3 linked regions of the Alligator mississippiensis genome follow. The protein of the gene in region 1 purifies or fractionates together with the protein of each later gene. This does not show direct contact. Links are inferred from orthologs where the notes say so. Each region holds a gene or a part of one and is shown on either strand. Other genes may lie near its edges.

Region 1 (3,743 bases):
GGACTTCAAACGACATGCTCTACTATACTCAGCAGCTACTTGCTGCACCTGTTGAGCCAGTTCTCGAGTTGGTGCCAGCACCAGACACTGGAAATAATTAGATTAGATTAGCTCTCTGTGCAATGATTACAAAACGTGTTTTATCTTTAAGAGAGAATGAAGATTTAAGGAAGTAATGAAAGATTTTATTTTCCGTTATGGGGAATGTGGCCAAAAAAAAATTCTATCCCAAGTGTTTAATTAAGAGCTAGAGAACTTGCTTTTTAGTAGGGCTCTCACAAAAAATCTTTTAGTTCCCTTGGTTTGGCTACCACTTACCCCATTTTTCAATTTTTCCACCAGTATGGACTCTTACAGCCAATACAAGAGAACATATGATTTAGGAGTGAACTAGCACTCCTGCTCTATTCTCAAAATAAGACATTATTTTGTCCAGAAGAGTATAAACACTCCTCCCTATTCATCTCAATATAAAAACGCAACCTAGAATGAAAGGATATTTCATATCAAGTTATACTCACAATAGGTCCATCTCCACGCTCTAGGAATGGCTGATGATTTATGTGCACTATGGCAGGCAACAGGTACTGTAGAAAAACAAAAGGCAGTTTTTACTCAAACCTGCTCCCCCCCTTATTGTAAAGCCAAAACAAGCTTAACTGCTATTACATAAATTAAAAACTAAGAAATTAAACAATTACACTAAAATGTATTAAAAAACAACCGAAAAAGAAGGAAACAGCAAAAAGAACCCCCCAAAAAACTTACAGACAGCGTTTTCCCCGATCCAGTCTGTGCTACTCCAACCATATCCAGTCCACTCAAGGCAACAGGCCATCCCTGGGCTTGAATAGCAGTTGGTTCAGTAAAATTCTGCCTCTGAATTACCTCCATAACATTTGCTGGGGAAAAAAAAAAGGGGGGGGGGGCATATATTAACTTGATGCTTCTATTTAATGAGCTTTGAATCAAATGCCTTGGCACTAATTGGCTAAACTTACCAGGAAAGTTAGCTTCGTAAAAGTTTATGAGTGGTTTTGGACAAGTATGGCCCTTAACTGTAATTTCTTTGCTTGCTCTGTATTGTTCAACCTCTTGCTGTTAAAAGAAAAGATGTTCAATTATTTTATTTATTTGAATTATTTATTTCGTTTCAATTATTTTAATAAAAAAAAACAAAAAAAAAACCCCATGTTACATTCAAATCCAGCTGCTGCTTGTAGTAACTTGTTTCAAGTCAGTACACTGGAAAGCTATCAGGCTCCAGTGGGTACAACCTTTGCAATATGAAGCCGATTAGGTTTAAAACGGCCAAAAAAAATAATTAAAAAAAAAAAATGGTCACAATACGTACTGCAGTACGCCGAACTACATCAGGATGCTCTTGGTAAAAATTCTTCTCAAATTTGGGCAGTTCATCCAAGTTCCATTTCTTTTTGGTAAGCTTCTCCCCCGGGTTTCCAAATTTCTTCCCGGAGAGGAGGCCGCCTCGACTCCCACCAAACCGAGGGGCTCCAAACCTGAAAGACGCAGACAAGGTTAGGACTGACAGCAAACAAAAGAGCCGTGGCAGGAACGAGCCCCCCCCCCTTATAAACGCGTGCCGGTGCCTACCCCGACCCCCGGGCTCCGCCGGCGGGCGCGCAGGAGACGCGGGCACATCTTTATCGCTGCGCATCCGACTCAAAATGGGAGCCGCGCGCAAGAGGCTCCGCTCCGCTCTCGGAGGCGGGCGAGGTGCCGCCCGGCGAAGCTTTTTGTGTTTCTCCCCCCCCCAGAAAGCCCTTCCTTGCCGACGGATGACGCGAATAAATAAACCGCCGGCTGGACCAGGGCCAAACCCGGCGGCTTTCGTAAGAGCGGGGACACTCCCCTCCTGCGTCAGCCGAGCGGGCAGCGCCGAGCCGCGTCCCTTGGGCGCTGCAGGCAGGGGGGATTTTTATTTTTTTCCTCCCTGGTCCTCCGTGCAAACCACCGGGGGGGGGGGGGGGGGGAATGCGGCGGCCGGCGCGGTGCCTCCGCGGGCGCTTGGGCGAGGGGACAAGGCGGCGCGGTGCCCCCCTCGGCGCCGCTTCCTTTGTCTGGCATTTCTGCCTACGCCACATTTTCCAGCCGCTGCCATTTTAGAGCCGGGCTGGGCGGGGGCGGGGGAGGAGGAGGAGGAGGAGGAACAAAGGCAGCGCAGCCGGCATTTTGATTCCCCTCAGCCGCCGCATGGCGGGGCCGGCCATTAGCATCCGCCCGCCGCACAAAGGCAGCCGGCCCGTGCCCCCCGCCCCGCACCGCGAACCGGGCCCTCCCGCGCCCCGCATCCACCCCCTCATGGCAGCGGCGGGGAGAGGGAAGCGGGCGCCGCGGGGCCCCGACCCCCGCCCGCCGCCGCCATTTCACGCGGGGCAGGAGCCGGTGGCGGGCGCCGGCCGGGCCCCCCCCCGGCCTCACCCTCGGTCCCTGTCGCTGGAGTACCCGGGCATGGCGGCGCTGCTGAAGGAAGCGATTTTGCTGGTTGGCGGCGACGTTAGCAGAGAAGAAATAAGGTCCCGAGGTGTCGGCGGGGGCCAATGAATGGGGAGCGCCCGGCCGGCCGGATGCCGGTTATATAGCCGGCGCCGCGAGGCATGCTGGGAGCCGGCTCGTGACGTCAGCGCAGAACCTGCCCGGCTGTTTTATGTAAGCCGCTGCCGGTGGGCGGGGCCTCCGCTGCCGGTGGGCGGGGCCAACGCCCCATAGGCGCGCGCTCCTGCCCGCTGGCTGGTTGGCTGCGGCGCAGGCGGGCGGAAGTGCCCCGCCCAATCCGGGCGCGGCTCGCGCTGCCCTCACACTGCTCGGCCCGCCGGCCGCGTGCCGAGAACCCCAGGCGGCTTCTCGCCCTTCCCCTTCCGCGCCTGCGCGGCTGAGCGCGCCTGCGCAGTGCTGATTTTCTATATGCAACAATTTCCCCCCCACCTTTCGCAATTGCACCCTCTCCCTGGGTGGCTGCGGCGCGCCCTCCCCGCGCCCGGCGTTTTCATCGCCCCCGTTCGCAGACAAGGAACCGCAGCCGGCCCAGCCCCCGGGGATGAAACTAGCCTTCCCTGGGAAAGGACCTGCGCAAGTGCAGGGTGGCTGGACCCGACGCTCTGTGCAAGACTTTGGAAATAGCTGAAGCCCCTGGTGGGGGTGGAGGATGTTTCCCAGCGCAGGGCCGCTTACGGTTCTGGACTGACTCACGGATTTGGACTTCATGTGGCTGGGAACATGAAAAATTTCATTAAAAAAAAAAGTAAATCTGTAACATCTAGGAACCCCCGCAGTGCTGGGCAGCCGGGCTCCTGCGACTCTGCGGGGCAGAGGCATTTGTAGAAAGTGTTAATGTTACAAGACAACGGGTGCCCCCTGCCCCTCTCCGGGCCCTTGTGCCCTGCGCACTCTCTGCTGCGAGGCGGCAGCCCCCACTGCCAACTTGCCACAGCAGAACAGCCAAGGCAGCGTGTCCTGCCCATTAAACCACCCTGGGCGCATCTACGTGTGCACATTTACTGCGCAGTATGGGCACGCGTCTACACGTGCATGCTTGTACTGCACAGTAAATATGGCTACTTACGCCATCATGAGCCTAAATTTGCTACCTGCATCATGCTGGTATCAAATTTATTATGCCTGATGTGTTACTGCGTAGTAACACTGTGGATTGATTTGGGTCTAACTTTCGTCCCAAGTCACTCCACACAGCATTAATGTGGCCCACACATATAGACCCTGGC
Region 2 (3,743 bases), on another chromosome or scaffold:
AGTGAATTTTAAGAAACTTCTGAGAGCAGGTGGCTTGGTCCTTTCATAAAGCAAAATGATCCCCAAAGATCATCTGCTCACCAGAGGTTCATTAAAAAGCAGACACCCCACTGGAAGCTTCAAGAACAGCTCATTCATGTTTGCTGAGGATTGGGACACTTAAAACTTGCATCCTTTAGTGATATTTCTTCTCTGTTGTGACATTTCTACAGAGTAGTCTTCCCCCCCTAAAACACCATCATTAAAAACCCTTGCAAGATTGCAAAGAACACCCTCTTCATCTTCTCTACCTGGTAAATCTAAATGGGAATTTCAGACATTTTGGTCTCAGCAGCAAAGAAATGGGAGATACAGAATGAACTGCGCTCCATATTGATTCTTAATGCAAATAAGGTGAAATAATGCATGTTTGTATGAAGATATAAATGCTCTTGGTGAACCCACATACCCCATAATCTTTATTTTAAATAGAGATTGAGACAGATAAGTTTGGAAATAATCAAAGAAAACAGCAGAATACCTCATCTTTAGAGATCCTTGTGCAAGAGAGAAAAAGTGAAAAGGAACAGTTAAAAAGTCAATAATATAATCAAAGTGAAATGAGGGGGGGAAATTGAGAATGGAAGAGAATTAAACCATTTGCTAAGAAAAATCTGAATGCTATGTAAAAACCTTACATACAAGCCAAAAAAAACAGCCCCTATGGGCTGACCCTGTTTATTTGCATGCGTGCACACACACACAGAAAGACAGTGGAGAGAAATGCAACGAAGATGCTGCATGTGTGTACTATTGCCTATGCCTGCAACTGGAACAGAGATAGAGAATAAAGATCTCTGAAAGAATTACTGCTGCGAAATGAAATGGATGGGGGAAAAAAAAGGGGTAAATTAAGGCTTTTCTGCAAATGGCCAAATGCAGGAGACAACCACCTTACGTTTCTAGCTCTTCCAGTAAATAAAAAGTAACAACAATTATCACCCTCCAGTGATGTTAGCACAGAAGAGATGCAAAGAAAGGGGGTGCAGGGAGGGAATGTAGAGGGAAAGGGAAAGGAAGAGAGTGTAAAGGGGGGGGCGGGCAGGGAAGAAGTAAAACTGAAGGTAAGAGGAAAGGGAGAGAGAAAAAACAGCTCTGGGTATACAGCTGGGGCAGTAAGAGGGTGGGGGCTTGGGCCCCTGAGACTGACCTGTGCCGTCGCTGGCGGACACGGAGAGCGCCGGTGAGGAGAGTTTAGGCCGCTTGGCTGAAGACGGGCCCGGCTCCACCACATTCTCGGCCATTTTTAATTCTTTTTTAGACAAACAGCGCAGGAGGCTGGGGAGGGGGGGAGGGAAGGGGGAACCCCAAGATCGCCCCTTTCTCTCAGGGCCCTGATTCAGCTGAAGAACAACAACACGGAGAGAGAGGCAGGAGGATCTGGAGGAGATGAAAGCAGGGCAAGTTCCCCTTTTTCTGCCCTTCAGGCTCAGTCTCTAGGCGGGTGGCAGCGGAGACGTGGGGCAAATGCAGGCAGCAGGGTGGGGGGGAGAGAAGGGAAGCCTTTCCCCCCAGGCCAAAGGGCAGCTGCGGATGAGAAGAGCAGCTGGGAAAGCCCCGGCCAGCAACAACACTGCCAATTTTTTTTAAAAAAAAGATTAATAACAATAAATCAAATTTAAAAAAAAAAATCAAGCTGCCAGAGGCCGTGTCCGATTAATCCCAGCGGGTGCACTGCTGCTGCTGCTGGTGCTTCTTCACCGCCACCATCATCTTCATCATCCTCCGGGGGGTCTCCTCCTCCTGCTGCTGCCGCTGCCTCTTCACCGCCGCCATCAGCCTCTTCCTCCTCGGCGTCGTCCTCCTCCTCCTCATCGCCACAAGGAGGCGGGCGAAGGAGGGGAGAGAAGGAGGAGGGGGGGAAAAAGAGGAGGAAAGGGAAAAAAAAAAAAAAAAATCACCGTCCTCTAGCAGCGCCTTCCCCCTCCGACGCCGCCCTGCGAAAAAGCCCCGCGGCGGGGCCGGGGAGGGCGGCGCGTGTGCGGGGCGCCCAGCTCCCAGCCGGGCCAGGCACTAATGGCTGCAGCGCGGGGAGGATGAGGAGCGTCCCAGGAGCCTCCGCTTCACATCTTGCTGTGCGGGCGCCGGAGCCGCGGCGGCGCTGGGGGTCCGGCCGGGGCGGCGGCAGGCGTCGCTCGGCGTCTCGGCAGCGCCCCCCCCCGCGCGGGCAGATGGAGCGATCCCCCCGCAGCGGCGGCGGTAGCAGCAGGAGGAGGAGGAGGAAGCAGCCGGCCCCTCCCCCCCTCTGCCTACAGCCCCCCTCTCGAGCGGGCGAGGCCGGGGCTCGGGCGGGCCGGGTTGTCCCCGCGGGGCGCGGGGATGGCGACTCCCGGCCTCCTCCGCCCCTCAGGCGCGGCGCAGCCTCCCTCTCGCCTCCGCCATGGCCGGGGGGTGGGGGGGGCGGCGGGGGGCGGGCGCGGGGCGGGATCCGGGCTGTCCTGCCCGGCTGCCGGCTGCGAGGGGAGGAGGGCGGCTGAGGGGGTCCCGGCGCCTCTCTCTGCGCACTCCCCGCCTCCGTGCGGCTCTGCCCGTGCGGCCGGCGCTGGCCCAGGCTCCGGCTCCCTCCCTCCCTCAGTCGCTCGCACACAAACAAAATGGCGGCTGTTGTTTCTTCGCTCTCCCGAGTCCTCCGAGAGGGAAGCGAGCGGCGGCGGCGGCAGCCGGAAGTGAGCCAAGAGGCGGGGGGGAAGGGGCGGGGCCTGAGGGGTGAGGGGCGGGGCCTGGCGTCGCGGCCGGGCTCGCGCACACAATGGAACGCCGGGGGGTGCGGGGCGGGGGGGTGGTCACGAGGCGCCGACAGCCACTCAGCGCGCGCCGTGCACCGCTCCCTTCCGCAAACTCCCTCCGCCCCGCCCCCCCTTAAAGGGGAAGGAGGAGGAGAGGCCAAAGCCCCTCCTAGCCTCCCTGTGCTCGGCTTTTCTGTTTCTGTCGGCCGAAAAGCGCTGTGGTGCTTGGGGCAGGCCCGTTGTCATGCCGGGGCTGTCAGGCAGGGGGTGGCTGCGCCGCTTGCAGCGGGGCCCCAGAGCCTTGGCACGTAGCAGCCCCCCAGAGCTCCCTTCAGGCTGCGCAGCCCGTTAGTGCGGAGGGGGCGACCTGTACGAGCCAGCAGGGCTGGGCCCGGGCTCCACGCATGGTTCTGCGCACGCAGGGGTGGTCCCAAGCCTGTGGGGGTTTTGGGGTCCGTCTGCACCGCCCCACACACGCTGCGTCGCCCCGTCCTGCTTCCCTGCGGCCTTTGGACGCCAAGCACGGCAGGAGCGGCCAGGCAGAAAGTGCCCTCGCTCGCTGCTCCGGGAGAGGCAGCTTTGCTTACTTGAGATCTCGTGTGGGCTGAGGTGGTTCGAGCTTGGTGCTAATAACGCCAAGGTCCTGGGTTTGTGCCCTGTACGGACGGACGCTCTACGCACCCTTTCCTTTCCTGCCCAAGTGCAGGGGGGCCGGACCCCGTGATCTGTAAGGTCCCTTCCAGCCCCCAACAACTATGCAACTATCAAGTGGGGGCATCTGATTGCCAAGACCTCCGGGTTTGGGCCTGCACGTAGGACGCCTGCCGATGGATGTGGGCGGATCTGAAGTCCCTGGGATGGAGGATGCTCCCGGTTGTAGCGCCATACATGGTGCTGCGAATGATTGAGTTCTGCCTGCTCAGTCCATGCGGGGTTTGGAACGGCTGAGTTCTGCTCAGCCAATATCATTTGGAACCG
Region 3 (3,743 bases), on another chromosome or scaffold:
TTTAAGTGCCACTTTTCATTTAATAAAAAAGTAATCCTCGTTCAGCAGAAGCAGGTTTGAGAATTCTGCGATGCCAATTAAAGTCTACACCAACCTGCTCCAACATTAGCTTTATCAGGGAACTGCTTAAGGATTTGATTCAGTGCTACAGAACGAACAACAGACTACTGTACTGTACTACAAATCATGGTGATTTGGTTTTGTACTACAGCCCACACTGCTGCAATAATGCTCCATCTAGTTGATGTCATTAGCCCCATCTTATTCATAGCAGCCCCAAACATTAGGGTTTTAGCTCTGAGCCTCTGTGGCATACAACCTACGGTACTGAGGTGGGGGGGGGGGGGGAAGGGGGGTGTTGGGGTTTTTTTTGTGTTTACTTTAAAAAAAAAAAAACTTAACATAAAAAGAACTGGAGAAAAGAGCATCTCATCATGGAGCCTGCATTCATCAAAATGATAATGAACTTAACATCTGCTCACACTATACTATATTAAGCAAGTTTGGTATATTATGCTGACAGTTATCCAAGTAATTATTTCCATCAGCTATGAAAGCCAGACTATATTAATGCTATAAATTAAGTTAATTTTTAAGGGTTGTCACCTTGTTGGTCTCAGGACATCTGCAGACAAGGTTCTTCAAGTAGATGCGAGATCTTTTATTAGACCAACTGAATAGTTGAAAAAAAATTGTTCTTTGCAAGTTTTCAGACATAAGCACCCTTTTTCAGGCATAGGGGGAGTCTCCCCCTATGCCTGAAGAAGGGTGTTTGTGCCCAAAAGATTACATTTTTAAAGGGTTCAGAGAGTGACAGTCTAGCCAACATACCCCCAGAAACAAAGAGCAGGGCGAAAAACCTCACTATATCAATCATAACTAGTAACTCCCTATATTTAACAGCTCGCTGATAGAGAATTAACTTTGTTGTTTTAAATACAAGTCTGAGAACATGGGGGGGGGGAGAAGGCATCTTAGGTTGCAAGCTACATTACTGAAGACCTTTCAATGTCAAAGCAGCAACAAAATCCAAGCAATTTAGAGGCATAGCAAAGGGGGGGGGGGTGTTTTAAGGCACTGTAATTAGACAGACTAAGTTTCAGACACATTGAGCCCACACCTCACCATCCTTTACTACTACAATAATTTTGCTCAGTAGAAACACACGCTTCCCTGAACTAGTGGGTTTGTACAAGTCTGCAGCACAGTTCAATGCAGCCTGGTTTTGAACCTACTTCACTGCAGCTCAACTGCCATACAGATTTTTCTAGTCACATGCCAATACACACACCATTTCCCCCCCTCCCAACTAGACCATCAGGGAGCCAATTAAGTCTGGTTTCTCTTACCAAAGTTTGTTTTACAGAACCTTGATCAAGCAAAAAACCTGCTCAAGGGCAGAGGAAGCTTAAAATAATGAGGAGTGAGGTCATATTCTTCATGTGCTGTTCACAACAGGCAGTTTAATGATGTTTCTAACAAAAAAGTTTTGTTGTGGCCGCCTGTGCTGTCACCACCGTCCTGCTGTTCCCAACCCGAACTATTGTGAACTGCTTCCAAACGCACAACAACTTCAGTTACAGACGCGCCGCCGGTCCCCTGCAGCCTCCCGTCCAGCTCCACACACTGTCTGCAGGGTTTGTTGCCGAAGCGGAGAACAGACCGCCCCACTCGGCTTCTCCACCACACAAAAGTCCGGGGAGCCCCAAGTTGGCTGCAAAGCGGAGCGGGCTCCCGGCACTGCTTCCTCTCTCCCTCTCCTTCCCGCCCCCTCGCCCCGGGGGCCACGGCTTGGGATCCAGGCGGCCCATTCCGGGCGCTGCAGCCCGGCCCCAGCCCCTCCCCTGACTGAGGAGTACTTTCTCAAAACAAACCCGCTTTCCCCAGCGCCCTGCCCTGCCCGCCGGCCGCAGCCCTGCCGGGAGCCCGGCTCGGGTTACAGCGGGGTCAGCGCAGAACAAAGGGCGAGGGAGGCCCCGACCCGGCCCCTTCCCGCGCCCGCCCGGGACCGCACCGGCCCTTTGTACCGAGGGGCGGCGTCCACCCGGGCCCGCGGGCCCCAAAACGGCCGGGACGGAGCTGCTGTCCCCCGCGGGCTCCGCCGCCCCGGTCCGCCTCGCCACAGACGCAGCCCCCCAATCCCGCTCGGGAGCGCGGCACTAACGCTGCAAGCGTGGGGTTCCTCGGCCTCCGGCTGCCGCCGCCGCTCGGGCGATCCCGGCTCCTCTGCTCCCTCCTCCGCCGCCGCCGCCACCGACCTGAGCGAGAAGCTTAAAATGGCGCCGCGCACAAGGCGGCTCTTATAGTGCGCGGATGTATCCATCCGCCGCGCGCAGCGCTCTACAGCCTGGGCGGGGCGCCAGGAAGTAGTGCCCGGCTCTTGACGCGGAGGGACACGGCGGCGCCTCGCGTGGGCCGTGGAGGGGGGGCGGTAGCTGCGGAGGGCGGTGGCAAGCGTGGGGTGGAGGCGGGGCAGGGATCCAGCCCCGAGGGGCGGAGTGATACCTCCGGGCCGGGCCGGGGGCTCAGCCGGTTAGAGGCGGCCTCTCTTAAAGGAGCCGGGCCGACTCTGACAGAGCCCGTCGCGGGGTGGAGGAGCCGTAGGGACACGCCCTGAGGTGCGGGACCCGTCCTGGGAAGCACCCCCAGCCCTTTTCGGCTGCGCGGCTTCACCCTCACACCAGCGGCCGGCACGCGGCCCGCGGCCCGCTTCCTCCCGCGGACACGGCCCCGCCGTGCGAGGCGGAGCTCCGGTCCGGACAGCTCCCTCTGGCGCACAGGCCCGGCCCGGCGGGGCTCCTGGGTAGCGGAGGTCACGTAGGCTGGCAGGGCCGAGGGGCCGGGCGCGGGACAGGGGGCAACGACGGAGGCGCCTCCTTGGCGGCTGAGCCTCTCGTCCTTCTCCCCCTCTCCCGGGGCTTGGGCCCGTGTCCTTGCAGCCCCGCAAGCGCCTGGGCCCGGCGAGGGGCAGGTCAGGGCTGGGGGTTTCGCCCTCTGCCCTGGCTGCTGACCCGCCCCAGCCCAGGCAGCTGCAGGGGGCAAAGCCACGCTCCCTTCTGGACCTGCAAGCCCTTCTGAAATGCAGCCCGTGCTGCAAGCTCCTGGCACAGTAGGCACCAGGATTTTCCCCTGCTTTAAGTGTCCAGTTGCTTAGGACTCAGAGCTGGTGGCAGAGATGATATCTTTCATTAGACCTACTAGATATTTGCAAAAAACAAAAGATTTGCAAGCTTTTGGGCACACTTGCCCTTCCTCAGGCATAGGAGAGTGCAAAGATTGTAAAATTTCTTTTAAGTGAAGATGAGAACTCGCATTTCACAGGAGAGCTGGAGGTGTAAGATCGAGTGTTTTGGCTGAGACAAGAGCTTGGTTCTTTGTCCAGCTCTTTTCCCCCTTCCTGCTTGGGGGCCATCCCGGGTGCCTCGGTTTCACTCTGTGAAATGGGGATAATGCTGCTGACTGACCCACTTTTCACCCCCCGGGATCAAAGATGCGATCCAAGTTCAAAGTGTGGCTGCTGTAGGGTGTTATTGCCAAATTTATGATAAGCGCTTCCATTAGGTATTTGATAACAACAGGAGAATCAGTCAAACACTCTTGATGCATCGCATGGTCCCAGATACCTTTAAGAGCCTCTTTGTGTGCCATCCCACCCCCTGAGGTCCGGGAGGATGGGGCTGGTGGAGCCTGGATTGCAGGAGCAGAAGGGGTACAGTCTGTGTCCTTGCCTCAGGCCCCTGAAC

The links.
Region 2: the proteins of DDX5 (region 1) and EP300 purify together in Homo sapiens (affinity purification with western blotting; 5 studies listed by BioGRID and IntAct, with this or other methods). This does not show direct contact. The link is inferred for Alligator mississippiensis from reciprocal best matches to the Homo sapiens genes DDX5 and EP300.
Region 3: the proteins of DDX5 (region 1) and CTNNB1 purify together in Homo sapiens (affinity purification with mass spectrometry; 3 studies listed by BioGRID, with this or other methods). This does not show direct contact. The link is inferred for Alligator mississippiensis from reciprocal best matches to the Homo sapiens genes DDX5 and CTNNB1.

Annotation. Positions count from the first base shown.
Region 1 is NC_081831.1:6,446,544-6,450,286, reverse strand, and holds the start of DDX5 (probable ATP-dependent RNA helicase DDX5), read right to left. Parts: upstream 2,581-3,743; 5' UTR 2,475-2,580; coding exon 2,443-2,474; intron 1,521-2,442; coding exon 1,355-1,520; intron 1,099-1,354; coding exon 1,002-1,098; intron 903-1,001; coding exon 769-902; intron 588-768; coding exon 522-587; intron 88-521; coding exon 1-87. UniProt on the Homo sapiens protein: Involved in the alternative regulation of pre-mRNA splicing; its RNA helicase activity is necessary for increasing tau exon 10 inclusion and occurs in a RBM4-dependent manner. Binds to the tau pre-mRNA in the stem-loop region downstream of exon 10.
Region 2 is NC_081827.1:97,652,376-97,656,118, forward strand, and holds the start of EP300 (histone acetyltransferase p300), read right to left. Parts: upstream 2,690-3,743; 5' UTR 1,284-2,689; coding exon 1,190-1,283; intron 1-1,189. UniProt on the Homo sapiens protein: Functions as a histone acetyltransferase and regulates transcription via chromatin remodeling. Acetylates all four core histones in nucleosomes. Histone acetylation gives an epigenetic tag for transcriptional activation.
Region 3 is NC_081828.1:136,001,571-136,005,313, forward strand, and holds the start of CTNNB1 (catenin beta-1), read right to left. Parts: upstream 2,273-3,743; 5' UTR 2,165-2,272; intron 1-2,164. UniProt on the Homo sapiens protein: Key downstream component of the canonical Wnt signaling pathway.